Caenorhabditis elegans: one gene and its partners. The protein of the gene in region 3 interacts with the protein of the main gene of each other region in a pairwise test. Each region holds a gene or a part of one and is shown on either strand. Other genes may lie near its edges. The genes, in order: asp-6, H06A10.1, txbp-3 and Y51H7C.3.

Evidence for each region.
Region 1: the proteins of txbp-3 (region 3) and asp-6 interact in a two-hybrid assay, tested with the Caenorhabditis elegans proteins (one large-scale study listed by BioGRID).
Region 2: the proteins of txbp-3 (region 3) and H06A10.1 interact in a two-hybrid assay, tested with the Caenorhabditis elegans proteins (one large-scale study listed by BioGRID).
Region 4: the proteins of txbp-3 (region 3) and Y51H7C.3 interact in a two-hybrid assay, tested with the Caenorhabditis elegans proteins (one large-scale study listed by BioGRID).

The regions. Positions count from the first base shown.
Region 1 is NC_003283.11:8,264,467-8,272,417, forward strand, and holds asp-6 (Aspartic protease 6), read right to left. Parts: upstream 4,472-7,951; 5' UTR 4,470-4,471; coding exon 4,162-4,469; intron 4,117-4,161; coding exon 3,987-4,116; intron 3,880-3,986; coding exon 3,148-3,879; 3' UTR 3,045-3,147; downstream 1-3,044. Other genes in the region: C16D9.9 (Neuropeptide-Like Protein), read left to right, coding at 20-129; F21F8.5 (uncharacterized protein), read right to left, coding at 785-904, 954-1,025, 1,078-1,233; asp-12 (Peptidase A1 domain-containing protein), read left to right, coding at 6,179-6,492, 6,541-6,754, 6,807-7,184, 7,261-7,542; asp-5 (Peptidase A1 domain-containing protein), read left to right, coding at 7,921-7,951. UniProt on the Caenorhabditis elegans protein: Aspartic protease.
Region 2 is NC_003284.9:13,502,703-13,512,099, reverse strand, and holds H06A10.1 (DM13 domain-containing protein), read right to left. Parts: upstream 4,568-9,397; 5' UTR 4,389-4,567; coding exon 4,343-4,388; intron 4,289-4,342; coding exon 4,160-4,288; intron 3,119-4,159; coding exon 3,013-3,118; intron 2,969-3,012; coding exon 2,863-2,968; intron 2,809-2,862; coding exon 2,631-2,808; intron 2,479-2,630; coding exon 2,391-2,478; intron 2,344-2,390; coding exon 2,121-2,343; 3' UTR 1,991-2,120; downstream 1-1,990. Other genes in the region: col-185 (Nematode cuticle collagen N-terminal domain-containing protein), read left to right, coding at 1,031-1,198, 1,241-1,990.
Region 3 is NC_003281.10:5,043,239-5,050,777, reverse strand, and holds txbp-3 (Tax1-binding protein 3 homolog), read left to right. Parts: upstream 1-3,616; 5' UTR 3,617-3,635; coding exon 3,636-3,890; intron 3,891-4,370; coding exon 4,371-4,490; 3' UTR 4,491-4,602; downstream 4,603-7,539. Other genes in the region: C45G9.15 (DUF851 domain-containing protein), read left to right, coding at 1-126, 180-485, 533-607; vtip-1 (Vha Twelve Interacting Protein), read right to left, coding at 886-1,270, 1,355-1,492, 2,084-2,168, 2,217-2,316, 2,365-2,484, 2,532-2,654; C45G9.14 (uncharacterized protein), read right to left, coding at 5,125-5,290, 5,338-5,457, 5,536-5,681; nlp-43 (Neuropeptide-Like Protein), read right to left, coding at 6,324-6,447, 7,308-7,387. UniProt on the Caenorhabditis elegans protein: May regulate a number of protein-protein interactions by competing for PDZ domain binding sites.
Region 4 is NC_003280.10:1,436,593-1,444,668, reverse strand, and holds Y51H7C.3 (Lzipper-MIP1 domain-containing protein), read right to left. Parts: upstream 6,180-8,076; 5' UTR 6,160-6,179; coding exon 6,126-6,159; intron 5,554-6,125; coding exon 5,447-5,553; intron 5,400-5,446; coding exon 5,298-5,399; intron 5,249-5,297; coding exon 5,066-5,248; 3' UTR 4,972-5,065; downstream 1-4,971. Other genes in the region: Y51H7C.12 (Nucleotide-diphospho-sugar transferase domain-containing protein), read left to right, coding at 1,309-1,395, 1,915-1,986, 2,030-2,119, 2,376-2,669, 3,394-3,573, 3,813-4,084, 4,447-4,603; nol-6 (Nucleolar protein 6), read left to right, coding at 7,172-7,222, 7,275-7,385, 7,434-7,872, 7,938-8,029, 8,075-8,076.

The DNA of each region.
Region 1 (7,951 bases), on a different chromosome or scaffold from region 3:
TAGTTTTCATAATTTTCAGCTAATTACGGTCCAGCTTGGCGTCAAAAGATGTGGAGGAAAACTCGTGTCTCGTCTCCAGCTTTTGAGGATGTTGCAGACAGTGGGCTGATCGACATGTTGGCAAATTAATTTCAATTTCAAAAATAAATAACAAGAGATTAACTTTGTTTCATCAAATTTTTTAAAAAAGTATATAAATAAAGATCAGTGGGCCGGGATTCATTTTCATTGATGGAAATAGTAAAACTAATTCGATAATAAAAAGTTTGTGTTATGCAACTGCGTCAGGTGTGAGCCTTCTACAAAGGTAACATTTTACCCTGCTCTTCCCTAACTCTATTCTACCTTATGCCTAACCCTCCGTTCGCCCTACATAGTTCATTTCCAAACTTTTAATTCTAAAAAATAAAGGAAATGAAAATAATCGAAAAAAATTGGACATTACATGAAGACATAGGAGAAAATGAAAAAGAAAATAGTCTTTATGGTAGAGGGTAAACAGAAGGTTTGCCCTACAATTTTTACTCTCGTGAAAGGTTTAGTGCATACTTCTCTTCATCAGGCGCAACTCAGGTGTTAGAGCATCATGACACTCAACTTTAGATACGCGCCAAAAATTCTTCTCTCGACTTTTTATAAACTTGTGATCAAAGAAATGGGAGATATGAAACATGGCACGTTTCTTACGGTTACCTTATACAGCTTTTAATAAATATTCTGAAATGACGAGTGGGCGAAGATAAAAAATGTTTATCAGAGAATCAGAAGTATCTGGGTTCAACTTTTAGAATTGTGGTCTTGAACGAATTGGTTTTGGAAGTTGAACAGTCTTTTTATCCAATTTTTCAATAAGATCAGGATCTTTTCCGTTTGCAATATCGTATGCAGTGTCATTTACCGTTTTCTAAAAAAAAACATATTTGAGTCGGTTAAATATATTAACCACGTCATACCTTCATCTTACGAATAATTTCCTCTTCGGTCAGAGGTTGGTATTTATTCACGACAGTGTCCACTTTCACTATCTGCAAGACAATTATGTTTTCTGAAATAACAACTTCATGGCCCAAAACTTACACCACCGGGATCAGAAAAGTGAATATCAGTAAGATTGAGGCGTTTCATATAATTATCCAACATATTTAATCTAGCCGTCGGTCCTGGCGGCTCTTGTGCTTCGAATGATTCAAGTAGAACGAAAAATGCAAGTGGCAAAAATACAAATGTATTCATTTTAGAAATTGAAATGAATTTTTTCAACTTAAAAAAATTTTTTACATTTTTTTTAAACTTTAAAACTCTTCAACACACGTATTTTTATTTAAAAAAAATCACAATCATTTTGGAGCAGGTTGCAAAGATGGAGCAAATCCCATTCGGAAGTTTCCAATATCATAAATGTTACAATATTGCCTGATAAACGGGTCTCCAAGAATCCAGGAAGGTCCAAAACCTCCAAAATCCATTGGGAAGAGAGCCATCACACACGTTCCATCGCCAACATCCGCAATATAATTGTAGTGTTCGATTTGATAATCATGGCCACCAATTGTAACTTCAAGTGGTCCAGGAGTAGCATCACAATCGATTACGTACGCTTCTCCAAGGATATAGTACTGTAACATTTTAGAGTGGAAATTAATTTTACATGTTTATTTGGTTTTTGAATGGGAAGAGTTAGTTTTACAACCGGCTTCAAAAAAGTTGAAGTTATAACGAGCGACTCCATTACTGTTAATATGAAATAAAATTTCAGTCGAAACAAAAAATATTCATAGTTATAAATTAAGGTGAAGATAAGATGAGATCTTATCAGGTTTTTATCTGATAAAAACTTACGGTAGCGCCAGCCTGCTTTGCAATTTCATTAATAACTACACTGGGACCACCCAAGAAAGAAGTTCCAGTATCCGAAATCACGTCAACAACTTTTGCATTCAAATATTTTCCCAGTCGGAATCGATTTGCCTTGAACTGAAAATAAGTGGCAGATGACAATGGCTGATATCCAATCACTGGTTCACAATTAGTAGTGTCTACTGCTCCATATGTGAACACTCCTCCTCCAACATTTGTCAATGTTCCTCTATGTTCCAAGAATACACTGAACAATGGTTGATCAAGAATTCCTTGTTTAATAGCATTGATAAGTGGTGGAACTACGCCATCAACAGCCAATGTAGTGAATGCAAGACCGAATATTCCATCGGTGGCGTCGTTTTTTAAATCTGCTGAAACTTGGTTTGCAATTCCGAATGTCGTTTTTGGGATTGCTAACTGATTTTCTCCGGTCGCTCCAATCTACAAAATTTTAATTGAAAGTAAGAATAATTGTTTAAAAATTATACCTTCACAATATCTTGTCAAATTTGTGTTTCGACTCACAATTTGCTCTAAAAGTTAAGTGTAAAAGTTCACTTTTAAATTTCATTCTTACTTGCATGATGTCCCTGGAATCCAAAGATTCGCGGAACCTGTGTCAAGGACAACAATAAAGCTCTGATCAGGAGTTCCAATAGTGATGTTTCCAAGATATTCAAAATCGGCAAAGTCATTGACCTAAATTAGTGTATGTGTTTATGAGAAAAATATCAAATAAAAGTTATTTTTGAAAGTTGGCTAGTTTCTATTTAAAAATTGTGAAACTTGCATAGAACAGGTTATCAGTACAAGTTTTAGATTATTTTAAAATTTGGATACGTTAAAAAAAACTTACATTCTGTGGCAAACTCTGTAGCTGCCAAGGATTACGGTTTCTTTGTCTCTCGAGATGTTTCTTATATGTTGCCCATTCTCCACTTCTCAGCATCTCGATCCTTTTTGATGGTTTCCATAATATTTTACTTTGATGTACTAATCCAGAAACAAAAACAAATAAACTTATAATTAAAATTATTGATCGCATTTTTCAAAAAGTGATCAATTTCCCCCTTTTCAATTCTGGTTTTAAGCTTTTTTTCATTTTCTTGCATCATCAAACGGCGGACTCGTTAATTTCGCTGATAACACAAGTAAACTGATAAGAGGAATGAAACATCGTGATTAAAATTCAATGCAATTCATTTCTGCAGAAAAATTGTTTAAATATTAGTTGTTTCAATTGTTTTATTATTGAAAAAGTATAAGTACATAAATAGTAATATATATTTACTTTTGGAGAGATGGAGCGAATCCCATTCTCTTGTTTCCAATATCGTAAATGTTGCAGTATTGACGAATGAATGGATCTCCAAGAATCCATGATGGTCCGAATCCTCCGAAATCGAATGGGAAGGCAGCGAAAAGGCATTGACCGTTTCCGGCATCAACGATGTAGTTGACTGGCTGGATGGAATAAGTGTTGGTTCCAATGGTAATATCAAGAGTTCCTGGCTGGGCAGCGCAGTCGATGAAGTAGACCTCGTTAAAGTCATCATAAGTGGCTCCAGCGGCCTTGGCGAGTCCGTCAACAACAGATTGTGGTCCTCCGAGGAAGGAAGTTCCGGTGTCAGAGATAACATCAACGGTCTTGGTGTTTGAGTATGATCCGAGTTTGAATCCGGCAGCCTTGAATTGATAGTAGGTGGCAGAGGAAAGTGGTTGGTAGGCAACAAGGGCTCCGCAGTTGGTGGTGTCAATGGCTCCGTAGGTGAAGACTCCTCCTCCAACATTGTTGGCGGCTCCTCTGTGCTCAAGCCAGACTGAGAAGAGTGGCTGGTCAAGGATTCCTTGGTTGATGGCGTTGATGAGTGGTGGGACAACTCCGTCGACGGCAAGGGAGGTGAAAGCAAGTCCGAGAATTCCGTCGGTGGCGTCATTCTTGAAGTCAGCGGAAATCTTGCTGGCAATTCCGAAGGTGGTGGTTGGAACAGACAATTGGGAGTCTCCCTTAGCTCCGAACTGAAAATCAATTTGATAAGGACTGATTTTTTGTAAAATTCACTTTGCCAGCTAATTTATATCAAGATTACACAACGCACACATTAATGCATTGAAGATAAACTTACTCTAACGGTATCTTGTCCGAGGATTCCGGCGGCATCTCCTGATCCGTATTGGATGGTCCAGGACTTTCCGTTCTTAACGAAGGTGCTGGAGGCAGTGGAATCGAACTTGCTCTTGGTCTTGCAGTTGGTCCTTCAAATAATCTTTTTAAATATTTCAGAACTGAAATCTACTCACTTGCAGGTTGGTCCTGGAATCCAGAGGTTAGAGGATCCGGTATCCAAAACAACGATGAATCCTTGATCTGGGGTTCCGATGGTGATGTTTCCGAGGTACTCGAAATCTCCAAAGTCATTGACATTTTGTGGGAGATTAGCAAGAACATTTGGGGACACAGCTCTGAGATTTCTCTGGTATTCAAGGTAAGCTGGATATTGTCCAGTACGGATCATTCCCATCTTCTTGGATTCCCTCCATACGATCTTGTGTTGATGGACTGAAGCCGATGCAAGGCCAAGAACGGCCAGAAGGATGAAGGTCTTCATACCTGAAAATAAATATTTCAGAAAAATATTCTAAATGGAAATGAAATTGAAAGTGTAGATAAACGAGTGAAATAATTTTCAATTTCAAGAGCAAAAATTGAAGTAGAAAATGTCAGATAGTGCTATGTTTTATACTTGTTGAGAAAACTCATGGGCGCACTGACGTAAGTTTAATTGGTTGATAAGAACCGCCTTCTTATTTGGTTTGTACCCGATCGGTGCGATTCTTATCACTAAAAAATGAAGTTTAGTGAAGAGAGTAGTGCCGATGATTCCGGCTTCTGGAAGTAACGACTGAAAACTGACGAAACAGCTTTTATGAGCTAATAAAACTCGAGTATTAACTGAATCAAAAGTGCGTAAAGTTCCGTGAACGGTACCCGGAGATGGATGACATTTGAGTCAAGTGCTGATAGGTCAATACCAGGTACACACGTAGGTTTACTGGCTAAATCCGGAGTAATACGTGATGAATTACGTAAGCGATAGGAAAGTATACAGTTTGAGCATGGCTAAAACTTGAACAGACAGAGTCCAAAGGATGATATAATGAATGACGAGAGCCTTATTTAAGGCATCACTGTAAGATTTTCCAACAATTCAATTTGCTCTGTATTATAGTTTTCAACATTATACAGTTTTTGAATTGAATAAACTTTTTGAGTTGGAAGGTTCTTAACGGCACTTTCTATCTCATCTTACTTCACAGTTAGTAAAATAGTTACAATAGTGCCCATTATTTGAATTTTATTTGAAAATTATGTCCATTTCCAATTGTTCCACAGCATTTTTTTTTGCAAAACTCCATATTTATATGTAGATAAACTTTTTGCCAGAAAACTTGCCAGGGAATAGTTAAGGATGAATTTTCAGCCTATCTTCCTAAAGACCCCAAATATAAAATTTTTGGTGGATTGCAGAGAAAGCTAGGCATGGTTTCAAGTTTTACAGTTCACCCTTTTGAATTGGAAATCCAATTAATACTGTACGCTTGTTTTGCAAGTGTACCCAAATGACATCACTATTTTCTGCAGTTTTTTTTCCGGCTCTGTATTATTTTGGCAGTCAACATGATAGCTTTATTGACATTTCTTTAAATCAAACGTTTTCCTCAATCATTTCCGCTGTTTTACTTCTCAACCTGTGACAGTACAAACATCTTGATCATCACGTGCCCAATAGCCAGGCATGTTGACTATGAGCCGGAACTTTTCTAGATAAGCTTCTTACGAATCTAGATACGTATTCTGATTTATTATCAATAATTTATCGCATCAGATCAAGAAAGTGAGAGTTCTTGCGTCAGATTGAAAGAATAATGGCCAAAGTTTCCAAACTTTGCACGGACATTCTAGTTTGCAAAGTTATGAGCTGAAGAACGAAAAATATTAGGTTTCTATGGTATTTAATCTTAAACGCATAAATTTTAGGAAGAAAGAACCATTTTAGTTCTTGAATACTTGTATTACACTTTCAAATACCCATATTTCAAGCATAATAGGACTACTGAACTTTTTATCGTACCGGGCATTCACACAGTCTCGCACAAAAGTCAACCTAAATGATATTGTATTTCAAACAGTTGTTCGTTGAAAAACTAGTAGAATCAAGAAACAAACATGATTTCAACCAAAATTAATGAAACCTCTTTTATTTCAAAACACAACACGCACTGAAAACATCGAAATATTCAATAAATCTTTTCAGAAATGAAGACAACTCTTCTCGCTTTTGTAGCCATTCTTGGCATGTGCTCGGCAACTGTGGTTCAGCATAAATTGATCTATCGGGAATCGCCAAAGATGCAAATGATGAGGCGAGGAGAATGGGGAGCATACGTTCAACACAAGGCTGCCCTACGTGACGCCAATCCAGCTGTGTTCGCCAGTGCTCCACAAAATGTCAATGATTTTGGAGATGTTGAATACCTAGGAAATATCACGATTGGAACTCCTCCACAACAGTTTATTGTCGTCTTGGATACTGGTTCTGCGAATCTCTGGGTTCCAGGAAGTAACTGCGAGTCAGTAGCCACCTTACACAATGGTTTTTAAATTTTTATCATTTTCAGTGGAACATGCAAAGGAAAGAGCGAGTTTGACTCATCTAAATCTACAACATTCAAGAAAAACGGACAATCATGGCAAATTCAATACGAATCTGGAAGCGCTAAGGGAATCATGGGAGTAGATACTGTTGCTTTTGGTGGTGCTTCAGAACAACAACTTCTTGTCCCATCTACCACTTTCGGTATTGCCTCTCACATTTCGTCTAACTTTAAGAATGTAAGATCTATTTCCCAGATTATTTGATTCTTCATCGGAACGAAACTTTCAGGACGCTGCTGAAGGAATTCTCGGGCTTGCCTTCACATCTCTTGCAGTCGACGGAGTTACCCCACCACTGATCAACGCCATCAACAAGAAAATTCTCGATCAACCTCTGTTCACAGTCTTTTTAGAACATAAGGGAACGGCAAAGAATGTTGGAGGAGGTGTCTTCACCTACGGAGCCGTTGACACTACCAACTGCGGACCAGTGATTGCCTATCAACCACTTTCATCTGCCACGTATTATCAGTTTGTTGCTGATGGATTTAAGCTCGGATCATACTCAAACAATAAGAAATCTCAAGTGATTTCCGACACTGGAAGTTCGCTCATCGGAGGACCAAGTGCTGTGATAAATGGCTTCGCTCAAGCTTTGGGAGCAAAAGTGAGTATCAGTTTAATTTTGACTCGTTGTGAGGGACAAACAGTTTTTTTAATCTTTATATCTAAACCTTTTCCAGTACCACAGCGATGATGATGCTTACTACCTCCCATGCTCAACATCTAAGGGAACTTTGGACATTACTATCGGAGGAAATGTGTATTCTATTGAACCTGTCAACTATATCCTTGATGTTGGAATGGGTGACACTTGTGTCTTTGCTGCTTTCTCATTCGATTTCGGAGGATTCGGACCATCATGGATTTTCGGAGATCCTTTCATCCGTCAATACTGCAACATCTATGACATCGGACAACAGCGCATTGGTTTTGCCAAGTCTCTCCAGCCTTCTTCAAAATAAACTCTATGCAATGCGATTGTGAGAAATGAAAATGAATACTTCAATTTACTTTTCTTCAGTGTGTGATCTACGTGATTATGGTCAAAAGTCCAACTTATACATATCGTCATGTACACCTTATTTCTTTTTTCATTTTCTGGACAATTTTGTGAAGTGAAAACCCACGTCACAGACCGTTATCTGATTGAGTATAAATGATAAGAAATCATTGTCAACTCAAATAAAATAGGAATTTGTTAACTTGTAGTACGAATTCTCCTTATTCTTATCTATTTCATAGACTGAGCTGTTTCATTCGTATTACCTTTTTTCTGTGTTTTGTCAGCTTTTCCTACTATTTATAATTTAATGTTAACTTTCACGACCATTTTTCCAGGTATGAAGACCACTTTCGTAGCACTAGTTGCCC
Region 2 (9,397 bases), on a different chromosome or scaffold from region 3:
GAGAAACAGAGACATCAAGGGAAGAGTTATATATAACGGAGAGATGTCAGGGAAACATGGCCGAATGGTCTAGTGGTATGATTCTCGCTTTGGGTGCGAGAGGTCCCGGGTTCAATCCCCGGTTCGGCCCATCCTTTTTCAAGTTTTTGACCGGAAAGTATTTGATGATAGTTTTCGCTGCGAACAGATAACATGCAGCATAAATAAAATTATGTTCTCAAACTTATAAAGTTAAATTCATTTATATTGACAAGTATTTACAGTATCACACGTTACTTTATTGGTGCCAAAAAATCAAATATTGTTGTAAATATTTTAAACGAAAACTGAAAATCGGCCAAATATATATAGTTAGTTTTTAAAAATATTATATTCAAATTGTACAATATGTGAACTATCGATCTGTAGCCCTAATTGTTTTACTGAATGAGTTTTTGTGTGCTATTTCTCGAAGGTTTATTAATAAATAACTTAAAAGTATTCTCAATTAAGACGTGTTTTCGTGCAGATTTTAGTTCAACATTCACGAATCCTGAAAATTATGTTTCTGTAGACCTATATGCAAAAGTTATTTCTGACCAACATGCCTAAAAAGTATGTGTATGTTTTCAGTTGATTATTATGTTTTGCCCTGTTCATGTTTTCATAATTGGAAAAATATTTATAGAAACTTTGATAATAAAATCTAATTTCAAAACTTTCATTCATTTCACTAAATTGCACGGAGATATCAGCAAAAATTTTCAAGCCTTGTTCCACATTCATGTTCTGTGATATATTTCCAGATACAATCGTTTCTCTCTTTGTTGGAATCCCATTCCAGAACCATTTCATTTTACAAACACCTAGAACGTCATAAAAGTTGTTTGTTTTTTGCCAAACTATGATATCTCGCAGTCAATCGTTTACTATCTTGATCCAACTACCAGTTCTATACTAGAACAATTTCAATAGTAGAAGCAGTATAAATATGCCCATGGTTTACACGAAGCTCATTCCAGTGGTGTGCTTTGGCATTCTAGAGTTCAAAATGGAGTCTCCAACCGATCTTCGTCTTAAAGCGTACCGTCTAATTGCATACTCGGCTGTCGGATTCTCTGTTACTGCCGCTGTTGCATTGTGTCTGACTTTGCCACTTATTTTCACTTATGTTGAGAATACCAAGGCTCAACTTCATCGCGAGTCTTTGTATTGCAAGGTATAATTCAAAATACTAGTGTTGATTATAAATGAACTTCAGAACTCGGTGCAAGATATGTGGTCTGAAATCAATAGCGACGTGTCAGTGAACAGAACTGCAAGACAGGCTGGATACTCGTCGGGAGGTCCTGATGCTGGAGCAGGAGCCGGAGCTGCAGATGCAGCTGCTGGCGGTGGATGCACTGGATGCTGTAATCCAGGACCACCAGGACCAGGAGGATCTCCAGGAAAGCCAGGAAAGCCAGGAAAGCCAGGAGCACCAGGAGCTCCGGGAGCCGCTGGAAAGGGGGCATCTGCACCATGCGAAGCAAAAACTCCACCACCATGTCAGCCATGCCCAGCAGGACCACCAGGACCACCAGGACCAGATGGACCAGCTGGACCAGCAGGACCAGACGGAGAAGCAGGATCACCAGCCGCACCATCGCCACCAGGACCACCAGGACCACCAGGACCAGCAGGACCCGCAGGAAACGACGGAGCCGCCGGAACTCCAGGACCAGATGGACCAGCTGGAGAGAGCACTTATCCAGAGCCAGCAGGACCAGGACCAGCTGGACCACCAGGACCAGCAGGACCACCGGGACCAGATGGAGCCAGTCCAACCGCTGCCCCAGGAGCTGCCGGACCACCAGGACCACCAGGACCAGCTGGAGCTCCAGGACCAGACGGAAACCCAGGAACTGCAGGACCACCAGGAAAAGCTGGAGGTGAAGGAGAAAAGGGAATCTGCCCCAAGTACTGCGCCATCGACGGAGGAATTTTCTTCGAGGATGGAACACGGCGTTAATTCCATTTATTATTATTACCATTACTTTGCAATTGACTTCATTTGTCTTGCCAATAAATTTAGAGCATTTTCAAAACACATTTACAATTTAAAACATATCAAGTTACATAAAGAAACATTAAAGATACATTTAGCAGTTTTGGGATATTACATGTGGTTCTGAAATGCTAATATCCGGAATATAAGGTGGAACCTGTTCTTCATTCTCAACAAGTCCCATATCCAAGTGGCCAAAGTCGTGTGAATACTTGTAGCAAAATACACTAATCCATTCAATGTCGTAAATTGTTTGGCTCTGGTCTAAGCGTATAATTATATCCTGATCGGTAATATCTTTCAGCATAGGGCAATAACTGGAAAAATTAACAGGACATGTTTCAATAAAAAAGTGGAAAATTACTTGAGGGTTTGATCACTTCGCAGAATAGCAGCTTTCTTCCCAGATTTTTGATCAATTTCTGATCCGGCTCCGGCAAAGAAGTATCCGTCTGAAAACTGAAGCTGCAGTACACAGTTTACTGTTAAACATTATTCAAGATTTGACAAAGATTGCATCCATTGTATCATGAGATTATTAAGATAAAAGGTTTTTTTAAAAAGAAATACAATGCTCCATAGCTTCACGTGTAAAAAGCAGTACCTGGTGTTTGCGATGCTTTATATGAAAACTTTGGAATTTTTAGTGTCCTGGAGTCGATCACTTCTATGGGGTCCGAAATAATTCCGTACTCTCCGAACAACCCCATATCCGCTTCACTTTCAAAACAACAAAATGGTGCTGATGGTTTTTGGTTCATGTTTACAGATGCCAATGTATTCTGAAACATAATGATTCAGAAAAAAAACGCTGCATCCCTGTTCCCCACACTCACCCCATTTGAATCAACAACTGCAAATTGCTTCCATTGCGCAGCTGAGCCCGTCATTTTGACAATTAGCCGCGTGTCTATTTGGTGCTGCTCGTGACTCAATGACACCCTAAATGTGATTATTGATGTGTTCTTGACAATAAATTAACTCACAGTTTTGAGAGCCATTCGCCGTTTTGAGATGAAAAATGGCGGTAGATTTTTGGAGTACTTTTTTGATTGTTTGATGATATAAAAGCAAATGGAATTGGAGGAAGATCTGCAAAGGTAGCTTTTTTTTCTGTAGTTTGGCACACATTGTGTTAAACCATTATGTTTTTTTTTCGAGCAATTCAAATTTTGCGCTACTCCGTTAAAACATTGGAAAAACATGTTATGTATTACATAGTAACGCGTTCGAATATTGACAGGTATACGGCTGGTTTATCGGAAGTTCGGCGACCGGTTTTGGAAATTTTAAAATTTTTAGAGGGGTTGGTTTTCTCGGCGGCCGACAATTTCCGAGTTTAGCCACACCTTAAAGGTGGGGTACCGAAATCTTTGAAATATTTTCAAATTACTCCAAATTTTCCCCTGATTCCGAATATCGATGTGAAAAAATTCAAAAAAGTTTCCCTGATTTCATATTTGAGCTTAAAATCTCGATTTTCATTTGTGCACCCATGAGCTTTTTCAAATTTGCGCCGAAATAAATTATCATTGGAGCGCGTTTGCTTCATTTCATTTTCTCCACATACTTTTTTTTTAGTTGTTCAGCTATTTTTATTCATTTTTGTTGTATATTGTCAGATTAAAAAAATATTCTTTCGTGCCAATTGAACATTTTATCTGCAGAAAAATAAATGAAAATAGCTGAAAAACTGAAAAAAAGTAAATATATATGGAAAAAATTGAATGAAGCAAACACGCTCCAAGGATAATTTATTTCTTCGCTAATTTGATAAAGCTTATTGCACAATGAAAATTGCGATTTTAAGCTCAAATACAAAATCAGAGAAATTTCTTGAGTTTTTTCACATCGATATTCAGAATCAGGGGAAAATTTGGAGTCATTTGAAAATATTTCCCAGAATTCGGTACCCCACCTTTAAACAATTATGTGATTAATTATAGTCTGTGGCCAAACTCGAAAATTGTCGGCCGCCGTGAAAACCTACCCCTCGGAAAAGGTCTATCAAAACCGGACGACCGGGCGCCAAATATGCCAGCCCTAGACAGGAATTTATTAGAATTTAAATAAGATTCGAAATTTTTTTGTTTTTCCACAATTCATACTGATTTTTCGAGAAAAAATTCTTACTTGTTTTTGTAGTCCTAAAGTTAACAATTTGTAAATGTGTTGAGTTGACAAGAAAAACTTCTCCTTCCACGTCACTCTCACTGAACTCGCCCAAAGAAACTCCGTTGTACTCAATGGCACGTATGACTCCTGAAAAGCAAAAAAGAAGAATAGTGTCAATTTGCTTTCAAATGTTTTTCTTACCTGAATATGATATTATGAATATAAGAAAAAATTCGCTGTTCCGCATGTCAATAGAGAGAAAATCAAGTAAGTTATCTGGATATAATGTTGAATAGAATGATAACTATTGGTCTTTTGCTTCAAAGGAAATAAAAGAAAAAGCGTTGCTTTTCTGACCTATATGGCCAAAAACTGGTCAAGTTTTACTTCTCTGCTTTAACCCTAAACAGCTACATCATTTGTCGAGATGAGACGAAAGTGAAAACAGTTTACTTTTTTATTGTCTCAGTTCTTCTTTTCCAAATTGGAGTACATTGTAATGGTTTTGTTTTCTGGTGACTGCAAAACCATTTCAAAGAAGGTTCATCTCAAAACACCGGCGATCGGTAAATTGAATAAATGTTTCTATTATTTTTGTTAGTAAATAACGTTTGGATCATTGACAGTTTGAAATATTCTTGAAACACGCGCGCTAACGTCGTTGCATTTTTCAAATTGGAATAAACGTTTATGCATATCAAATAAAAATTCACAGTTCAAATCGCTACCAAGTTCAAACAATCTTGATACATTTTTTATATGATGAAAAATGCGAGGTGTAGCCAGTGACAACCTACAAAAGCTACAAACTAAAGGTTTGCTTTTAATTTGATATCTGTTCCACATTTAAAATAATAGTTTTCCTGAATTCTGTAAAAATTTGAATACAGTGTTTTTGGAGCATTTCGAAAAATGTGAATTTGAAAAAAAAGTTGTTCACAATGTTTTATAACAGAAAAGTTTATATTTTGGCTAGGGAAAATAAAATATTTAAAATCTAAAAAAAAGATGATCCATATCACGCTTACGGTAAAATGTTTGAATTGGGTTTTATACGAAAATTGCTTTTTTTTTTCAAAAGCTAGCCTAAAAACCTCAGTACAAAATGACATTATGACGTATAGAAGTTCAAAGAAGTTCATAAAAATGTTGAGTGTCTACCTAAAATACTACTAGTGATAATAACAGTGTAAGGCGCCAGAACGCCTGCCTCGCGTCGCAAGCCGCTTCTCTTGTATAATGCGGCACGGAACCCGAAAAATGTCGACCGCGGCCAAATAACCGCTTTTAGCACTACTCCAAGCCTTTGACTGGAAGCCCTGATCTAAAGACTAAAATAAAAATATTGTAAATAAACCTACAATTATTCTACAAAAAAGTATTTTCAAACTTTACTCCACCTGTATCAAATGGTTTTCATTGCGTTATTTCTTTCGAAATCGCTTCAAAATTTCAAATATTTCCAATGAACACTAAGCTTGGGCGTTCAAGCGCACAGACGAATTCAATAGAATCCAGACGAGTACCAAAAACAACCAGCTTATTATTGCCCAGAACCAGAACCTGCTAACCCCTCGGGCATCGAAATCGAGCAAAGGGCACCTAGAAATTTTTAATGAGATTTCCCCCTCCTGCTTTATTCGCTTCCCACGTCTTCCGTTTTTTCTTACTCCTCTTCTCACCATCTGGAGGCATAAAATGGTGGACGGAAAAAGAGCAGATGTGCTTCTTCTTCTTCTTCCCACTCTGACACGCTCCCGGATTACATCACCCTGCCATTCGTCAAACCCGATTTCCATTAGTGGTGATGAAATGTGTAACCCAAATGAAAATGAAATGGGTGCGCTCTTTTTCATCGTTTTTGTCGTTTTATTGATGTACTACTGAGATTGCACTAACGGTAGTGCTTTTTTAACTTGAAGTTTTCACCGGAACTTGGTTGGTGTAACTTTGAACTTCATAGTTATGGAAATCACGCAAAATAAATTTTTTCAAATAAAAAACTGTAGTGTTGTAAAACTAAAAGTTGTATGAAATGGTTTCGTTCATTTTATAGATTTTTTTTTGTTTTTCTGAGTAACATTGGTTAGATCTGGTTAGATCGTCTTGAAGAATTTCGAAATTTCCGCGTACTTTTGAAGTTATATACATTCTTCAAAAGTTGGCTGAATAAATCTAGTGAAGTAGCTTCTATGCTGTAAAAAAAACAAAGGTCCATACGTTAAAAAACTTGAAATTCTGTATTTGTTCAAATTCGAAACTCACCTACAGTAAATCTGAAAAAAGTATTTCTTAAGCTCACTTTGAGTATGTTTTGGCAAAACTTCCGCTAGCGCTATGTTACAGGTTACACTCCTTCGGTATGATTTTTCAGTTCAGCAAAAAACAAAAAAAAAAAGGTTTTCCCCATTTATCACTGTATTTTATCTTCTTGTTCAATTTTAAAATTCCATTTGAATCTTCGAAAGTAAGCTGGTTTACGAGAGTGCCGCCCGACTCATTTAGCACTTCTGAGCTCCCGCCGTGCTTCTTCAGCTCCTTCCTCTTCTTCTCCTCTTATTCAATTGCGACGAAAACGAATGAGAAGACAAAAAATAAGAAGAAGAAAACGAACTGACAGACGACTTCTTCACAAATTTTCACATTTTCTCAATTTTTTCGAGCTCGACGACATTTCTTCACATTCTTTCACTTGAATCAAGTTGAAGCTTCATTTTTTCGTCTTTTTGTTTTTGTATTGAGCATCAAAGTTTAGCCTACTCAAATGAGCAATAACCTTTTTTTTCAGCTGTTCAATACAAAAAACTATCAAAAAATATGCATTTTCTTAGCAAGTTTTGAAAATTATCCAGTGCTCAAAATTCTGAATATTAAAGGTGGAGTAGCGCCCATGGATTCTGTCTAAATACATTTATAATGACCCAAAACGACCGAATATCATAATAAAACATTCCAAATAATTTTAGATTTCCCATAATTCTCGGTCGAAGTTTTGGCAAATTGCCAAAAATTTTAAAAATATGAGCTTTGAGGAAATTCAAAGCTATGTCACATGTTTCGACCCTTACAATGTTTCAATACAATTAGTTAAACAAAGTTAAAGTATAGAATATTTAGGTAGAAATTTTTTTGGTAGACTTCCAAAATTAAGAGTAGCAAAAAATGAGTAATTGTCATTTTTTGACAGTAAATAAAAAAAATTTCAAAAATTATTTGAAAAGTTTTATTGATATTCAGTCATTTTTGGACCGAGGGAGTTGTTTTTAACAATTTCCCCACTGACGCTACTCCACCTTTAATGAAAACTTATGTATTGAAGAATGAGGGTTTTTTGAACCACTATCTCACTAAAATAATGAAAATCCAATTTTTAGTTCACCAGACATATCTATTAAAATTTACATTTGATAAAACTCATATTAGACCCTTTAGGCTCTTGTTAAGCTTTAGCGGCTCTCTCAAACTATTGTTTGCCTTCAATTCTATGCACTCTGAAAGAAAATAAAAAGACGAAGAAGAACTCAAATTTCAATCCATCCGTCACGTCCTCATCCAACTCTTTACATTTTTCATCTTCTGCACACTTTTTTTTGTTCACGTTTTCGCTACCTCCTAAACTATTCTGGGCTCGATTCGTTAAACGTTCTTGCCCATTGTTCTTACAACACTAAATAATTCGTACTACTTTTCGACGAACGACCTCGGAAACGAATATGTACATGTTGAAATCCATTTCTCACACATATTTCACTCCATTTCATATTCAACATGGAGCTTTTGCAACGGACAGGGTGAGGGGGAAACTAGCGACCACCACCTCATTAATTCGGGACCCGCGCGGGTAGCGAAGTGTCCGTGCTTCTTCCTCTTTTCCGGGGCGAATACTCTCCACTCCATAATAATGTCGTGTTTTGTCCCGTTTTGCTATTTTCTCGTCGCTCTCTCTCTGTGGGCTCTTCTACACTTTTCTTTGGCCATGACTACCCAACCAATTAAGTGACAGGAACGGGTGGAGGAAACTGAGGCAATGAGCAGTAAAGTACACATTTCCGGGAAAAGCGATTGTGTTGAAATTTGTATAACAAAAAACGAAAACCTCCAATATTTTTCAAAAGAATTACTTATAGGTAAAACAAAAACGACTCAAAAAACAATAAGGTTTGGGCGGAAATTAAAAACTGTTCTAATTTGAATCAATTTCTTTGTCAATTTCCACCATTTCGTTTGTAGCACAATATTAAAATATTAGGTTGAAAATCTAAAAGGTGGAGTAGCGCCAGTGGGGAAAGCATTAAAAACCACTCATATGGTATTAAAAAGAACTATTTATACAAAAAAATTATTCAAAAACTATTTGAAATTTTTTATTTACTGTCAAAAATGACAATGACAATTACTCATTTTTTGCCACTTATAATTTTAGAAGTCGACCAAAAAACAATTTTTTACCTACGTATTTTATACTTTATTTTGTTCAAATAAATTGTAATAAAACATTGTAGGGGTCATAACATTCGACATTGTTTTGAATTTCCCCAAAAGCTCATATTTTTCAAAATTTTGGCAATTTGTCAAAACTTTGACCGGGTATTATGAAAAATCTTTAATAAATTTGGAGTATTTTATTCTATGGACAAATGCATTTAGTTTTACAAAGGATTTGTAGTCAACTAAAAAAATTAGTTGTTTAAATGTAGTATATCCATGAAAATATATGTACAGCAATAGGAAAAATTTTTCAAATATACTTATAAATGTTTTTCATGGCTGAATAGTATCACACTCATATATAACGTTTAAAAATGCTTATTGAACGGTTTCACCAAGTTACAAAATTTGGGAAACATTTTGGTGTTGTTGAAAAATTAGGAACATAGTTAATTAGGAGCATGTGTCATATACGTGTGAACAAATTAAAAATATTTTTCTGAAATTTTGCGGACACCCAAATTTTAAATATTCGGACAATTCCGTCAATTTTGTTTTCAGCATTTCGCCAGCCATTTTGTCATTAGTCTGGTCTTAACCACAGAAACACAACAAGATTAATTTCTGTTGACTCATGAGTTTGCAATTACTCTGTTGTGAAATAGCTGAAAAGATATTTTTTTGGAAAATTGTTCGATTTTTTGATAAAGTCAGTTTTTGTATGTTTTCATTTTGCAACATGAGAAACAAGTATGTACATAAATGATTATTCCATTCTGATGGAAGCTGCTGACTTATTCTAGCAGTTCCGTTTTTTTCTTTTTTTTC
Region 3 (7,539 bases):
GAAGAAGACACTTATGGACAAGTACCAAAGTTGAAAGATGTTCAGAGGTTGCCACCGCAGAACGTGTTCAGCCGTCCTGGAGTACCGTTTTGGGCAGTCACTTTGTTACCAACGGAGGAGGATTTGGTAAGGAAGCGGGTGTAGATTTACGAGAATGAAAGACCAACGAGTAATTACAGGTTGACGTTGATCCATCAATATCAGTTGGAACTGAACATCTTGAAATGTATCATTTGAAACAAGTACCACTTCAAACTATCAAAAAATCAAAGTTAATACTCAATGCACTTCAACCATTGTCTATATTAGAAGATCGTGATGATATTCATTTCACGCCGGAACTTGTATTTTCAAATACAATTCGATCGCTTGTTCATGCTCAGGAAATGGAAGGAAAACGAAATGAAAGTAAATCAGATGATGAGGGAAAGTCCGATAAGAGTTTGTCATTTGTCATTGAGAAGCAGGAAGAGTTTATTTATTCAGTAATAAGATTTACTGATTTGATATCTAATTATTTTCAATCATTCAGAGAGCAAATCCAATCGAGACGGCTAGAATGGCTCGTAGGAATCGTAGAAGTAAAGGATCGTCGTCGAAGAAGTGAAACTGAAGTCTTACTTTTCTTAAGTGAATATTTATTCGGAGGCAAGATAAAAGAATAAATGGTCAAATCACAGATTTTTTGTTGTTGAAACACAAAACAATTGAAAGCTATTTTGGAATGAAGTGAAGTGAACAACCCAAAGTTATACGACTAAAATTCTATTGACTGAAATTGAAACTATTTTTTTTAGATTTTTTAAAATCCGATAATTCGCATGATTTTTTTAAGTGAAGAAAGACTGAGAACAATATCTTAATGGGAATTTTAGACAAAAAAAATCAATTTTTCGCTTGCTCGTCTTCTTGTTTCTTCTTTTCTCTATCTGCTTTCCACGAGGATCCGTCCAATTTTATAGTTTCTAACCAATCATCACAAATTAATTGTTCATTTGGATCTTTAACCATTCCAGTCAATGCCATCAGAGCTTCTCCGTCTTTTACATCAAATCCTTCGCCCAAAAATGCATCGATTCGAGCACGAATTGCCACGAATTCCCCATTTTTCTTGAACTCTGAGAATCGTCCAGATTTGTCGTTTAGGATGAATCCATCTCCATATTTTTTGATGAATCTCGGGAAAAATATCTCTCCGGGCTCTTTTCCTGCTTTCGATGTGCTTCCTGTTTCAGTATTTGTTTCCAAATCGTAGAATACAAGTCGTTGTCTGAAAAAAAAAACAAAATGTTTTTATTTCGAATACAGATTCCGAAAAAACTATTAACACTTGTTAAAAATTACAAAAACTCACTTTGAGAACATATTCATTGGAAAATCGTTGATTGAAGCCACCAAAGTCTTGTCATCAAGTGCACAAATTCGTGAAAAAGCTTCTCCAGGCTTTGATTCAGCAACAACATCCCAACCGATTGGAGTGTCCAAGTGTGTTCTGAAATTATAGATGTAAAAATAAAATATAAAAAGTTGCTTGAAGGAAACATTTTTAATTTAAAGAAGGAGTATCGTCAAAGGGGAAATTGTTTTAAAATGTAGTATTTGTACTCAAACTTCCAATTATTGCAGAAGAAAAACGGAAAAATCCGTTAACATTCAGCATTTAGCCGTTGAAATCGACGAAAGTGGCTGAAAGTGGCTGAATTTGAATTTCGCGCGCAAATGAAAAGCAACCACGCAACTTTTAGGTCATATTCGTAAACAAAATATTGATTTAAATGTAATTTTTTCGAACTTTAATTCGCTTTTCTTTCTCAAAAAGTTCAAGAAAACTGGGAAGAAGAAATTGTATTGAGTATTTTTTCAAAGGACAATACCAGAACAAATAAAAATTCGAAAGATCGTCGTGGCCTAGGATTTCTCTAGTTAATTTTTGAAGATTTTTTCGACTTAAAATGCTGAATCTAAACGGATTTTTCCCGTTTTTGTTTTGTAATATTCTTAAGTTTGAGCACGAATACTACATTTTAAAACAATTTTCCCATTGACGATACTCCTTCTTTAAATGATTTATTTTAATTCTTACGTCATGATAAAATTGTTTCGATGTCCTGGTTCAGCTTGCTTCACAATATACATATCGCCACTATCAGTGATTGTCATGGAATTTACTAAAAAAAAATATATTTTAAAAAATGTTTTATACCAGAAAAACTTACATAATCCTTCGATAAACGACTCATGAACAACATCTCCATCAAGTGAAATTACTCTTAAAATTGTCGTTCGATCAGAGAATTCAGCTGATGTGTAGATTATCTGTAAATTTGAATAATTAATAACTTAAGTGAAAATAATTTATTGTACCCTGTCTTTGTACGAAATTACTTGTGGAAATGGGGCCATTTTCTTGAAGAATTTCTTGTCTTCGTGCAGAGTTCGGAGAGTTTTTCCGTTGAATTTATATAAACCGCCTTTTGAAGCTACCTGAAAAATGAATAATTTTTAATTGTTGTTGTTTAATTATAATATACCCATATATTGTTGTCTTGGTCGTAAACAACGTTATAAGGAACTCTTGCCCCTCTTGGCTCCAAATGAAGAAGCATTTCATCAAATCGTTGATAATCACTGGTGTCTGACGGTTCTTGGGTCATTTTTATGCTGAAAATTGAAAATTTATTAGATAATTTATCATTATATTTAGCAAAAGAAATGAGAGTCAACGATTAACTAAAAATTTAAGAGTTTTGCGCAAGAGAAGTGTCTAAAAATCAATAAAAAATTTCACCATACCCAGCTCGCTGCGAGACCTCAATCAATAATTTGAATGCACTCCTTTAAAACCACAGTAATCGGCGAAGTGAATTTGAATATTATTAGATTGAACAACATTTTCAAAGTGAATTCACATTTAAAATAAAGTGAAAATAAAGAAGATTTTGGAGTTAAACATGGTTTAAAAGTGGGAAAAATGTTTTAATTTGAACAAAAATGGTTTTTGAAAATAAATCGATTTCTCAAACATATATTGTGGAAATTGGAAAATCTACAGTACCTAGCATTAAAAAACTTCTTTTCCGCTACTGATTTTAGATTTTTAGATATTCTTTTTTCTTGACTATATTGTTTTACATTGAAATAATTCATTATTAATTATTATAATATCTTTAAAAATATGCCTGCAAATAGAAACATGCAAGACTGCAAGATTTGGAAACGTTAAATAAAAAATTGAGGGAAAAAGATTATTCAATACAAGTAAAACCAACTTTCCATGGCCGCAAAAAGCGATGTTTGGTCTTATTTTTTCAATTTCTCTTCCACGGCCACCAATTCAATTATTCTCTTATCGGCAACACTTGTACAAGGTCGCCATCTCAATGACAATCCGAACGGAATTGAGTAAAAATGTATGCAAATTCGGCCATGAGAGTAGGAAGATGAGATAGTGTAAGAAAAATGGAGACCAGAGGGGGTTGAAGACAATGAGTCACACCTCATGTTGTATGTGTGCGTTTCATCTTTGTCCGTGTTCCGACACATTTAAACATTAGTTTTTGAACAAAAAACCTCATTTTCTTTTCAATTTCACTTTTAAATACTTTCCAATTTTCAGATCAAAAAAAAATAATACAATGACAGCATATGGTCATATGCCAGGAGAAGCAATTGAATGTTTGTCAATTGCTGTTGAATTGCACAAACAAGAAGTTATTGATGCTCATGGACAAGTCACAATTCGAGTTGGATTTAAAATTGGTGGAGGAATTGATCAAGATCCAACAAAAGCGCCATTCAAATATCCGGATTCTGGAGTTTATATCACAAACGTCGAATCAGGATCGCCGGCGGATGTGGCTGGATTGAGAAAGCATGATAAGATTCTGCAGGTAATTATGAAATTTTTAAGTTTTCTTTTCCCAGAGACAAATGATCAAACTTTCTTGCCAACATATACATTGTTAATTAAGAGTACTGTAAACTTACTGCCGAATTTTCATCGATCTTGCATAGTTTTTCTCATGAGTTTTTGGAAATTTTTGTGTTGTTATATTTCAAATAAATAAATATACTTTCATCAAAAAACCATGCAAAATCGATGAAAATTCAGCAGAAATGAGAATTTGAAATTACAGTACTCTTCTTAGGCAATATTTTCTCATTCAACATAAATTTGCGTGAATTAAACTGAAGTGAATTAAACATTTGGCCAATTAAAAAATTTTTGGTAGACAAACTCAAGAACGTTCGAACATTAGCTTAACATAAGTTTCCAAAAAATTGAAAACTCCTCAAAATTTTTCTAGATGATATTGAGAACATCCTCTAACAAACGGACACCCCAACTAAATAATATTCTCTATTTTCAGGTCAATGGAGCAGATTTCACAATGATGACTCATGATCGAGCTGTGAAGTTTATCAAACAATCAAAAGTACTTCATATGCTTGTTGCAAGAGCCGATCTTCCTCCTGTCAGTCTTCATTAACTCAATCTCATTTGTTCCGTTCACATTCAAACTTGCCCTTTTCAATTATCTCTCAAACTCAATTCTGCGCATATATTTTGATATTTATCGGGTTCAAAAATAAAAAATTTTACTTTTTTGACGACACAATGCATCATTTGACAAGAAAAATTGGTCATTCGTGTTTGGAAAAATGAACTGAAAATTTCATAATTGCCTGTAAATTTTTATCATACAAAAATGAATTATTTCAATGTAAAAAATAAAGTAAAACAAAAGAAATTATAAATCTGAAATCTGTCGCAATAAATTTGTTAAATTAAAACATTTTTTCCACTTTTAAACTAGTTGGGATATTAAAATCTTTGTTGCTTTCACTTTATTTGAATTGTGTATACACTCTGAAAATGTTTTTAAATCTAAATAATGAATTTCAAATTTACTACAAGGATTACTGTAGTTTAAAAGGAACACACGTGATTTCACTTGATGGATTCTTGGAACAAATTCAATTGTGTAAACACAGAAAAAGTGATGTACTAACAAAATGTAGTATTATATGCAAATGAAACTTGTAGTACATACTAAAGTCTTCTCGAATCATCTCGAAAATAATAAAATAGTATTTTTTAAAACTTTTAAAAACTAGAAACATTCAATTTTTATCAGAACTCTGAAATTCAAAATTAATATTATCTTCATCATCGGATGAATCCATAGTTTTCCCTTCTTCTTCATATAATTTCAGCAAAGTTCTCTCTTTTTGTTTTCTTTCTTCCGTCACTTTTTCTAATTTTTCCATTAATTTCGTCATTTGAACTCTGCAAAATCTCGGTTTTTTCTGTTCCTAAAACTTTGAAAAACTAACTCTTCTCTCCTCGAAAAATTGCGATTTTCGTCAATTTCTTCCTGTTTTTCTGCAATCAATCGGTCCATTTCTACAATTTCATTTTGAAAGTCTTTGACTCTTGACTCGAAATTGGAATATCTAAAAAATACTCAATTATTACTTTTCCACCGAAAATACCAACTCAATTATTCTTGTTTTTCGAAAAAAAAAACTAACTTTCCAATAAAATTTTGAATTGTCTCCGCATGGCTTCGCACGTTTTCAGATTTTTCCAGCGCCTCCTCTAGTTGAGCTTGTTTCTCCGCAATTCGAGCATCTACTTCGGATAGGTAAAAATCAATTGCATTTTGGGATGAAGCCATTTTGATGTATACTGGATGTGAATGTGCTCATGGAGGAGATTTCTGGGTGCGCTCAATTGGAAAATCCCATGTTTGCTGGCCAGTTCCTGAAATTTTCTAGTACAACTACGAATTGCAGGGTGAAATGAAAATCTTTCCTTGTAAGAGTTTTTACAATCGTTTCATGTACTTTCCAACAGGAATATTAATTTAGAAGAAAAATTTTATAATAACTGAAAGTGGAGGTTGTAAAGTTAATCAAAGTGGAATAATGTACTGCGCAATTTAGAATTCTCGAGTGTGTTTGAAGACAATGAACATTTCATGTTCTTAACTCAAGTTTTTCACTAAAATCAAAATTTGACCGAGATATGCTTGCAAAGTTGATCAATAGATACTATACAGTATGTCGGAAGCATTGCTTCAAACAATCATCCAAAACACTCAAACTGAGTCCATTTTTATTGAGTCGTTCAAAATTCATGATTCAAAAAATTAAAAATGAAAGGAAATCGAGAAGAAGATGTCAGAGTTGTTGATCAGGAAAAAAACAAAAATAGGTAGAGATTGTGAGATTCAGAGACAGAAGTTGAAACATACACACACAGAGAAAAGAACAGATAATGCTACTGTCATTGTATTTTTAGAAAAATAATATTTGAGTTATTTCCCGGCCCATGCGTAAAACTGCTTCCTTTTTTCCATTGATGGTCCAGCTTCTTGGGCAATTGAGTCTTCAAAATAGTGAACTGGTGCCGATGATCGTTTTCCGGCCCATGCGTAAAATCTGGAAAAAATTAAATTAAAAGCTGGAAATTCGCTCGTTCAATTTGTGACTCTGTGAGTTGATGGCGGTCCCCCATCCCGATCACGGTTACCTTCTGATTTTTTTAGCAACAAAGGCGACTAAAGGGAGTACAGGGAAAATATGGGGCGCCCGTTGTTCGCCCCCATCGAGCGCCACTGTCCGTTATTCCCCCTCCATTTTATGGCCCTGGGACAATAATCATAAAAACTCTAATAAAAAAACTATACAACAATGTTTTTAACTTATTTCTGCAAGCTACCATCCTCAAATGTTTATCCAAAAGCTCCAGTCAAAAAATAGATATATACATAAGTCAACGTTACTTTCATTTGTGCACCTCTCTGTGCTCAATTTCTTTGTTCGTTTGCTTGATGCGACAAATTGGATCTATTTTTCATTTGGAATTAGTTTTTTTTTGAAAAACACTACAGTAACTCCCAACTTTCGCCAATTTTTGATCGTTGGTTTTAAGTGGTTTTCCAGGGTCGGAAAGTTTGGATTTTGAATTCTATTCTAGTTTTCAAACTGAATTTTAAATGAAAAGGAAGTGGACCTTTTTGTCTACCTTTTATGTTCGATTCGAGTAAACTGAAAACTTTTAGAAAAACAAAAAGATTGACATATTGTGCTGTCAATTTCTTGAAATGCTGAATTTATAAATGGGGAAAAAACAACAAAAAAGTTATCTATAGCTGTATACCAGACAATTACAAGGCTCAGGGAACATTTTAAAATTCAGGTTTTTATGGGAAAAATTGATCGCCTCGATTGGTACTCATCCCTTGCCCGTCCAGGACTGACAAAAACCCAAAAAAAAACTATTATCCTCATCAACTCACTGTTTTCTCTTATTCCTCATTCCTTCTTCAGATGAAGCCGCCCTCTTTGCATCCTCCCATGAGTAGAATCGTTTGTAAGCCTGCAAATACTCAAAAAGTTTGACCCATTTCTGATCCGAACACTCAAATTTCACACGAAATTTGACACTTTTCCTGACACTTTTTGTCCCCGTGGTCGTGATGTATATGTAAATGTTAAATGTACAAATGTCAACATGCGTACATCAGTATC
Region 4 (8,076 bases), on a different chromosome or scaffold from region 3:
GTCAGGCCCTGTAACCGCGCCTGCCTTGCATGCAAGCCCTAGCACCTAGGCTTTGAAAAAAGTGGCAACATTTCCAAGCAGCTAACATTATAGAAATGGAATTCGACAGTTGCAACTTCGGCTCAAAACTACGTGAACACATGTCCTTCACGTCATTTGGAACCGAACATTTATGGAGAAAATATGTGGGGAGGAATGATCTTCAATGCGTCAGAAGATGTAAATCATTTTGGATACAAATCCTCAAAAGTTCTCAAAAAAACTGGAACACGGAGTTCAATGTTAGGGGATGGAACACGGATGTAATGAGCATGGAGCTTTATGAATCTGGCGTCGGGCATTCGATACAAATGGCTTGGGCCGGCGTCGGGGACATCGGATGTGGGGTGAAAGTGTGTGCCTGGGATGAGGAACATAAAACGTACAATGTTAAAATCGTGTGTCATTATTGGGGAACGTGAGTTGTGAGCACCTATTTTCGGTAAATAGTATCATTTTTACAGTGGTGATTACATTGGGGGGTACCATCTACGAATCGGGACCTACTTGCTCGGCTTGTCCGCCCAACACCACTTGCGATCAGGCCACCGGGCTTTGCGATAGTAATAAACCGGATATTCCAGAGCCATTGTACAAGTATGATGAGCTGGTCAATCGGGATTCGGGCTATAAAACTATTTTGGGCTTTTACTTAATGACAATTGTTCAGTTAATTTTTAAACTGTGATACTTTAATAAAGCCTCTGTAAGTGTTGCATTTCTACTTTGATAGTGCGTATTCCAGTAAGTTTCGAAGATTTTGGAATGTTTTAAATACAGATTTATAGAAAAAGTGATAGCAAACATTGTCTCAGTTGACAATTTTTTAAAAGAACCAATGACAATTGAGACACATGAGTTTTAAGACATGCTGCATCGATAATTGGTACTAGTCAACTTGGACAACTCATATATTACTCCATTTGGAAGATGTTTTATAGTTGTTACTATCAAACTATAGAAAAAACCAACAGGAAGCAGATTACCAGTTGACAATTTTTTGATAAAACTCTAGAGAATTGAGATATGGGCGGCCCAAGTTAGGCCATGACATGGTGCATCAAAATAAAAAATTTGGCATTTTTCAACTTTACTTTTTCCAAGTCTTGCCCGTTTCGCGTATTTTTAATTTGGAACGTTCCTCCTTATTCACCTGCGCATAGTAAATTCAATCAAGATAAGCCCCCGTGAATCTATGTCATGTTACACATTACACATTAATATAGTTTTGCATATATACATAGATTTATATGAAATTTTAATAAAAAGATGTTATGCCGTAACATTAATATACAATACTTTTACATCTTTATTGTCTATACATTGTTTTGCTATTTTTTTGGAATACGCTTTTTGGTAAGTTGGGTCTGATTTAGGCGTACAGAAGAGAATTTGTTCACTTTTATATAAAGTTAATCTTTTAAATATCGTTGAACAGAACAGAATAACGGGGAAATAAAATACTTACAGTTATTTATACAGTATAGTTATATACATACAGTATATACAGTTTAAGTAGTATATACAGTATAGTTACAGTTGTCTGTTTTGTTCAATCTAAAATGCTGCGAGTTCCCTAGAACGTTCCATTTTTATTGTTTTCCTTTTATCAAGATACGCTGGAAAATGTATGTCATAGCCCAAGCCTACTCTTTTAAATATTGAATTTTTGGAACATTGAATTCATAGAATGTTTTGCGGTAATATTAGAATTACTTACTTTTATACTTTTGTTGTCTATATATATATATATATAAATATAGACACTCTTTTATTGAAGTACTGTTGCACCATGTCTTTTACGGCTTAACTTTGGCAGCACATCAATTTTATCAAAAAGATTTCCGGAATTTCCCCAAAACAGTCAGCTTTCAGGAAGTCTTCCAGGACGCTCAAATTCACCGGCGCAAGGATTTTCTTTACAACTTGAATGGTATATCAAATAAGGTAATTTTTCATAAACTCATCCTATATATTTTCAAATTTTCAGCTCACATTTGAAGCTGTCAATAATAACACGGAATTCGACGAGTTTGCAAATAGTCTTCGAAAAATGCCAAAAGCTCCATATCTAATATTAGTAAGTGTGTGTAGTTTGTAGTGTATAGTTTGTAGTTTATAGTTTATAGTTTATAGTTTGTAGTTTGTAGTTTTATGTTATAAGATTGTAGCTTGTAGTTTGTAGTTTATAGTTAATAGTGCATATAGTGTAGGTTGTAAGGTATGAGTAAGACTGATTTTTTGTTGTTATTAGCTTTCAGTTTGTTTTTTTTTTGGTTTGTAGTTTGTAGTTTGTAGTTTGTGGTTTGTAGTTTGTAGTCTAAATAAAATTTCAGTACGACTCTACCAACGTGGACGTTGTCCTAAACCACGTTTGCAATCTACAGTTCATCCCCAATTCTTTATCCCGACTGGTAGCAATCTCATTTGACCCGAACTCCCATTCAGTGCTGAAGCAGAAGCATCCAAACATCCCGAACCTTCTATTTGACCTGACAGGCCACAAAAAATCGATAAGCTCATTACCGGATCCACGTGGATATTTATCATATTCACTCGTCCTGCTAGTTCATGCACAGATATGTGCTAGCCTGGCTTTTCGTGGAATAGACTTTTGGTCCATGCATCAGGTAGGCATGTTGTGCCTGCCTACAAGGCTTGCCTATCTGCCTTGTATCTACCTATTTGCGAAAGTTTATAGTGGGTGGTCAAACCCAGAAAATGTTGGGCGCATCGCAAATATTTTTGATTTGATTTACTACCAAGATACATAAATTTGGGTTGAAGGTAGATAGGCAGGTAGGCAATGAGGCACGCAGGTACTGTAGGTAAGAAGTAGGTAGACACGCAAGCACTCAGGTATGTTAGGCAAGGTAGGCACGGTTGGTACTGTAGTTAAGCAGGTAAACAAATAGCCTGGTAAGCAGGTGAGTAAGTAGGAACTGTAGGCACGATAAGCGCGGTAGGTATGGTAGGCACTATTGATACGGTAGGCACTATAGGCACTATAGGCACTATAGGTACGGTAGGTACGGTAGGTACGGTAGGTAGGGTAGGCACTGTAGGTACGGTAGGCATGGTAGGCACTATAGATACGGTAGGCAATGTAGGTACGATATGCATGGCAGGCACTATAGGCACTGTAGGCACTGTAGGCACTGTAGGCACTGTAGGCATTGTAGGCACTGTAGGCACTGTAGGTATTGTAGGCACTGTAGGCAATGTAGGCACTGTAGGTACGGTAGGCACTGTAGGTACGGTAGGCATGGTAGGCACTATAGGTACGGTAGGCACGGTAGGCACTGTAGGTATGGTAGGCTCCGTGATCTCATCAGCACTCCCAAATAACTTTAGGACACCCTCTGGACCGGAAGCTTTGACCAGTTGGAACTCGAGTCTCGATATGGAAATTACAACCTAATCCTGGACACCATCGGTAACGAAACTCCATATTACTTCCGGAATAAGGATTTGGCGTGTGGTGCCACGTTTTTTGTCAGAGGGGGTCCTGTGTCCTATCAGTTTTTTCAACAGGTAACAAAATTTTTGAATTTTCCGCAAACCACGCTGTGCAAATACGCTCCAATGAGAAAATTTGAAAACTTGAATTTTTGATAGCAAAAACTTTTTTTCTAAACTTTGGTCTGCTAAATATGTTTTGTAGTTTGTAGTCTAGCATACCCATATTTTTATAATTTTTCTAAACCACTTAAAACCTCGATTTTCAAGCAAAAAAGTCCCCGTTTTTTTTCTGAAATATTCAAATTTTCCAGGTAATCTCATTTATGCTGACATTTCAAAGCCCCGACTCAACAATCATGAGTTATTTATGCAGTCATCAGGGATATAAATGCAAATTCCTGCCACATTCCATATCGTCTTCATTTAACTATTTCGAGAGTCCACGTGAGATGGTTCCGGTTTTAATACAAATTGATGGTGGTCGGAAAGATGGAGACTCGAAGATGGATGTTTTGAAACGGCAAAACTTGGTTTTTACATTTGAAAATGGAACTTGTAACGAGAAAGCTGTGAGGGAGTTGAGGTAAAAGTGCTATATCCTGAAAACTAAAAGTTTTATCGAAAAATTGTTAACTGCAAAAATGTACAGACTACAGATTAATATTAGCTACAAGTTGTAAGTTGACAACTTTGTTCTAGCTCAACCCAGAAAAAAGTTACGACGGCCGACACCTTGCGGGCCATTTTTGGCGTTCTTGGCCCGTGAGACGTCGGTTGCCATAACTATTTTCTGGGTTGAGCTTAGCAAAACTTGTCAACTGGCAAATTGTAGCTAATATTATTCTGTACATATTTGCAGTCGACAATTGTCTGCCAAACCTTCTAGTTTCAGAGTTATGCTAGTTTTACTATTCTCCACCGAAAAAAAAAAGTTACGACTTTCAGAGAAACCATCAAAACAAGCTTTCAATCCCTAATTCGCCAGGATTGGTCCCTGGAAGAGAACTGGTTCGGCTCAGGCGTCTTCTTTTTGAGACACCTATTCAATGTGGATCCAGGACGGCGGAAAGTGTATTTAAAGGCGCATTATCATATTATTTAATTTATTAAAATCGTTTTTAAAGTCCCACAATGTTTTATTTCTATTAAAAATCATGATTTTGCCAAATTTATGTGGAAAAATGCCAAAAAAGCAGCAGTGGTCTGCTAAATATCATTTTGTAGTTTGTAGTCTAGCAGACCAAATTTTATTAGAAACTGGTTGGGACTGTTAAATATTTTTTGTAGTTTGTAGTCTAGCAGACCCAAATTTTTAGAAATTCGTTGGTCTGCTAATGTTTTTTTTGTAGTTTGTAGTCTAGCAGACCAAAATTTATCAGAAATTGGATTGGTCTGCTAAACATCATTTTGTAGTTTGTAGCCTAGCAGACCCATATCTTCTGCATTGCAACTCCACGAAAAATGTAGTTTGTAGTCATCTGTAAGCCTTCATTACTCTGAAAATCGCTTTTTACACAAATTTGACAAGAAAATTAAAAGTGCGAATAAAAATTAGTAGATCAAATTAGTACTTTTCGATAGATTTCTCTGATTTTTCCGATTTCTCGCCGAGTTTCGCAGAGCTTTGCCATTTTGCACGCTCCCCCTCTTCTTCGGCATATTGCTCGTGTTTTTGCTGAAAATCTCTCTTAGAGGTCTCCTTCGGCGTGCTCGAATCGATCGGAAGTCCACAATAATGATCGGTGACCTGAAAAATAACGTTTTTAATGCGAAAATCGATTTAAAAAGGTGCATACATTCGAGGAATCCGTGTTGAAGGACATATCGGTCGACGAGACGCTGACTGTTGACACGTGGCGAACTGGGAGCCCGTTGCGGAGCTCTTTGATCACTTTTTCCTGAAAAAATTGAATTAATCATGCTTAAACGCTCGAAAATAGCCAACTTTTTGTCTTCTGGTCTCTTCGAGCTCCATTTCCAAGAGGAAAGCCTTCTCTTCGAGGCGGTGCAGGTTCACTTCGAGACTTCGACGCTTTTTGGCTGCACGATCACCTGAAAAAGGGTAATTTTGAAGAAATTTAGGTCAAAAAAGCTTTATTTTAAGCGAAAATTGCCTATTTTTCAATGAAAAACGCTCTGGTCTGCTAAATATTCTTTGTAGTTTGTAGCCTGGCAGACCCACTGAATTTCGAGTTTTCTGGCGGTTTTTCATTGATATTAAAGTCCGGTTATTTGGAAAATGTTAGTTTTAGTGATTTTAAGGTGTTTTTAACTTAGTTAAAAGTCTAAAATCATTTAATTTGAGCGAAAATCGACTAAATTTCAAAGAAAGGACCGATTTTTATACGAATTTTAGCAAAAAAAAATGGAAAAAATCATTTAAAACTATCAATTTTGCACTTAAAATTAAGATTAAGTATAAAAATTAAATAAAAATTGCGAAAATGCATGTTTTAATAGGATTTTCCCGATAATGGTCTGCTAAATCGAATTGTGTAGTTTGTAGTCTAGCAGACCAAATCTCTTCACAATCCTATTGGTCTGCTAAATCGAACCTTGTAGTTTGTAGTGTAGCAGACCAAATGGAAAAATCTGATTTTTGGGGTTTTTAAGGTAAAACTCACGTTCAGAGCCGAGAATTGATGTCAGGAACTTCATTTTTGCGTCGCGGGAGCTTGCTGAAACAAATTTGAATGAACGGAAACGAGAAAACTGAGAGAAAATGGAGAACGAAACGAAAAGAATTAATTAAAATGATGGATAGCTTTGTGTGTGTGTGTGTGCGTATCGGTCCAAAAACAAGCCTATAAATTCAGTGAATTCGCATCTTTTTTCGCTTTTCTTTCTAGAAATAAATTCCAGCTGAATCGGCGAGAGGGAGAGAAGAAGAAACTACAGAATTTAAAATTCATCAGAGAATTCGAAAGAGTTTGTGATGAAAAGAAAACAAAAAATAACATTGGAAATTTCATGAATATTTGATGAAAATTCGTAGAAAACTGGAAAATTGATTTTTTGGAGGGAAATAATTTGAAATTCAAAGTTTGGCGGCAGCAGGCAGGTTGCGTACTTTTGCGTACTTGGCCTTTTAATTGACGAGCAATAAGGGGTACTGTAGGAACTTTTAAATTTGATTTTTAACATGTTTTTTCATAAAAAATTGTTTTTTAGCTCTAAAAATTTAGAAATATGATCGTTTCAAAGTTAAAAAAACATTTTAGACTTTATTTTCAAAAATTTATTTCGAAAACAGACGTTAAACACGTCTTAATCTGTGTTTTTCCCTGAAAAATGTCCCAAAACTCTGCAGTTTTTCATTTTAAATCCTTTTTTTGTGTTCTAATCTGTCATTTCCCTTGTTTTCCCCGTTTTCCACTCAATTTCTGCTTTTGAAACTCCGCCGAAAGCAGGCAAACGACACTCCGAAATCCCGCAGTAACGTGTTGTTTATCGTAAATCGACAGAGACACTCTATTTTATTTTTTGTTGATTTTAGCCTTAAATCTCGAGTTTTCAATGATTTTTTCTAGTTTTTGAATGTAATTTTGTGAAATTTAAATGAAAAACTGAATATTTGTCATTTCTAGTGTATAAATTGGTTTTCAAAATTGGTTTTAGCTTGAAAAATTGATTTTTGGGAGCAAAATACTAATAAATTCTATTTGCAGAGATGGAGACAGACGGAGATGTGCTCCCAATGTCGAACGCCTTCAAATTATTGGTAAATCCCAAAAAAATCGATTTTCAAGCAAAAAAATTGTTATATTTTTCAGTGCGAAGACACCGCTCCAAAATCCAACAAAAAACTCATCGAAAAGCAGCGTCAAATCGCTCAAAAAATAAAAAATGTGCTGGAAACCTCGAAGAATGGCCCGAAAATTCAGGTTTTCCCTTTAATTAGTGAAATTTTAGGCCAAAATTTGAATTTTCAGTACAAAAATCTCGATTTCTGGACAGAATTCGACGTTAAACATCCTCTGCATCATCTTCAAAAGGCTGTGGATGCCACGTCGTCGAGTATTCCGGAATTTCAGTGGACACCGCCGAAAAGCATCGTTATCACTGAAAAAGGGCAACAAATTTTCATTGAAATTCCGCCAAAAGCTCTCGGAAATCGCGATTTTCTCAATTTGACCTACGCGGCGAAGCGGGGACATTTCGCGTGCCACGTGGCGCGGCTTCTGAGCGGAAAATTCGAAAAAGTCGAGTTCACAGCCGGTGGAGCCCACAGAGATGACCCAATTTTCGCGGATATTCTTGTCGATGGAGTTCGAATTGGATTTTACTGCCCGGAGCTTGCGAAAACCAAGAGATTTGCTCCAAATATCGGAAATTTGAGGCCCGCCACCATTTTTGAGGATCTTTTTAAAGGTTTTTGTCTTTCTTTTGCAGGAAAAAGTGTAGTTTGTAGTCTAGAAACCTAATTTTTTTTCCAGAAACCGAAATCGCTACGCCAAAATTCAATCAACGAATGTTGTGGTCAATTCTCGAGTTGGAAATTGCTCAAGAGATGGAAAAGGAGCTTAAAGTACCCTTTTAAGCCAATTTTCCCCATTTAAAAGCTTAATTTCAGGC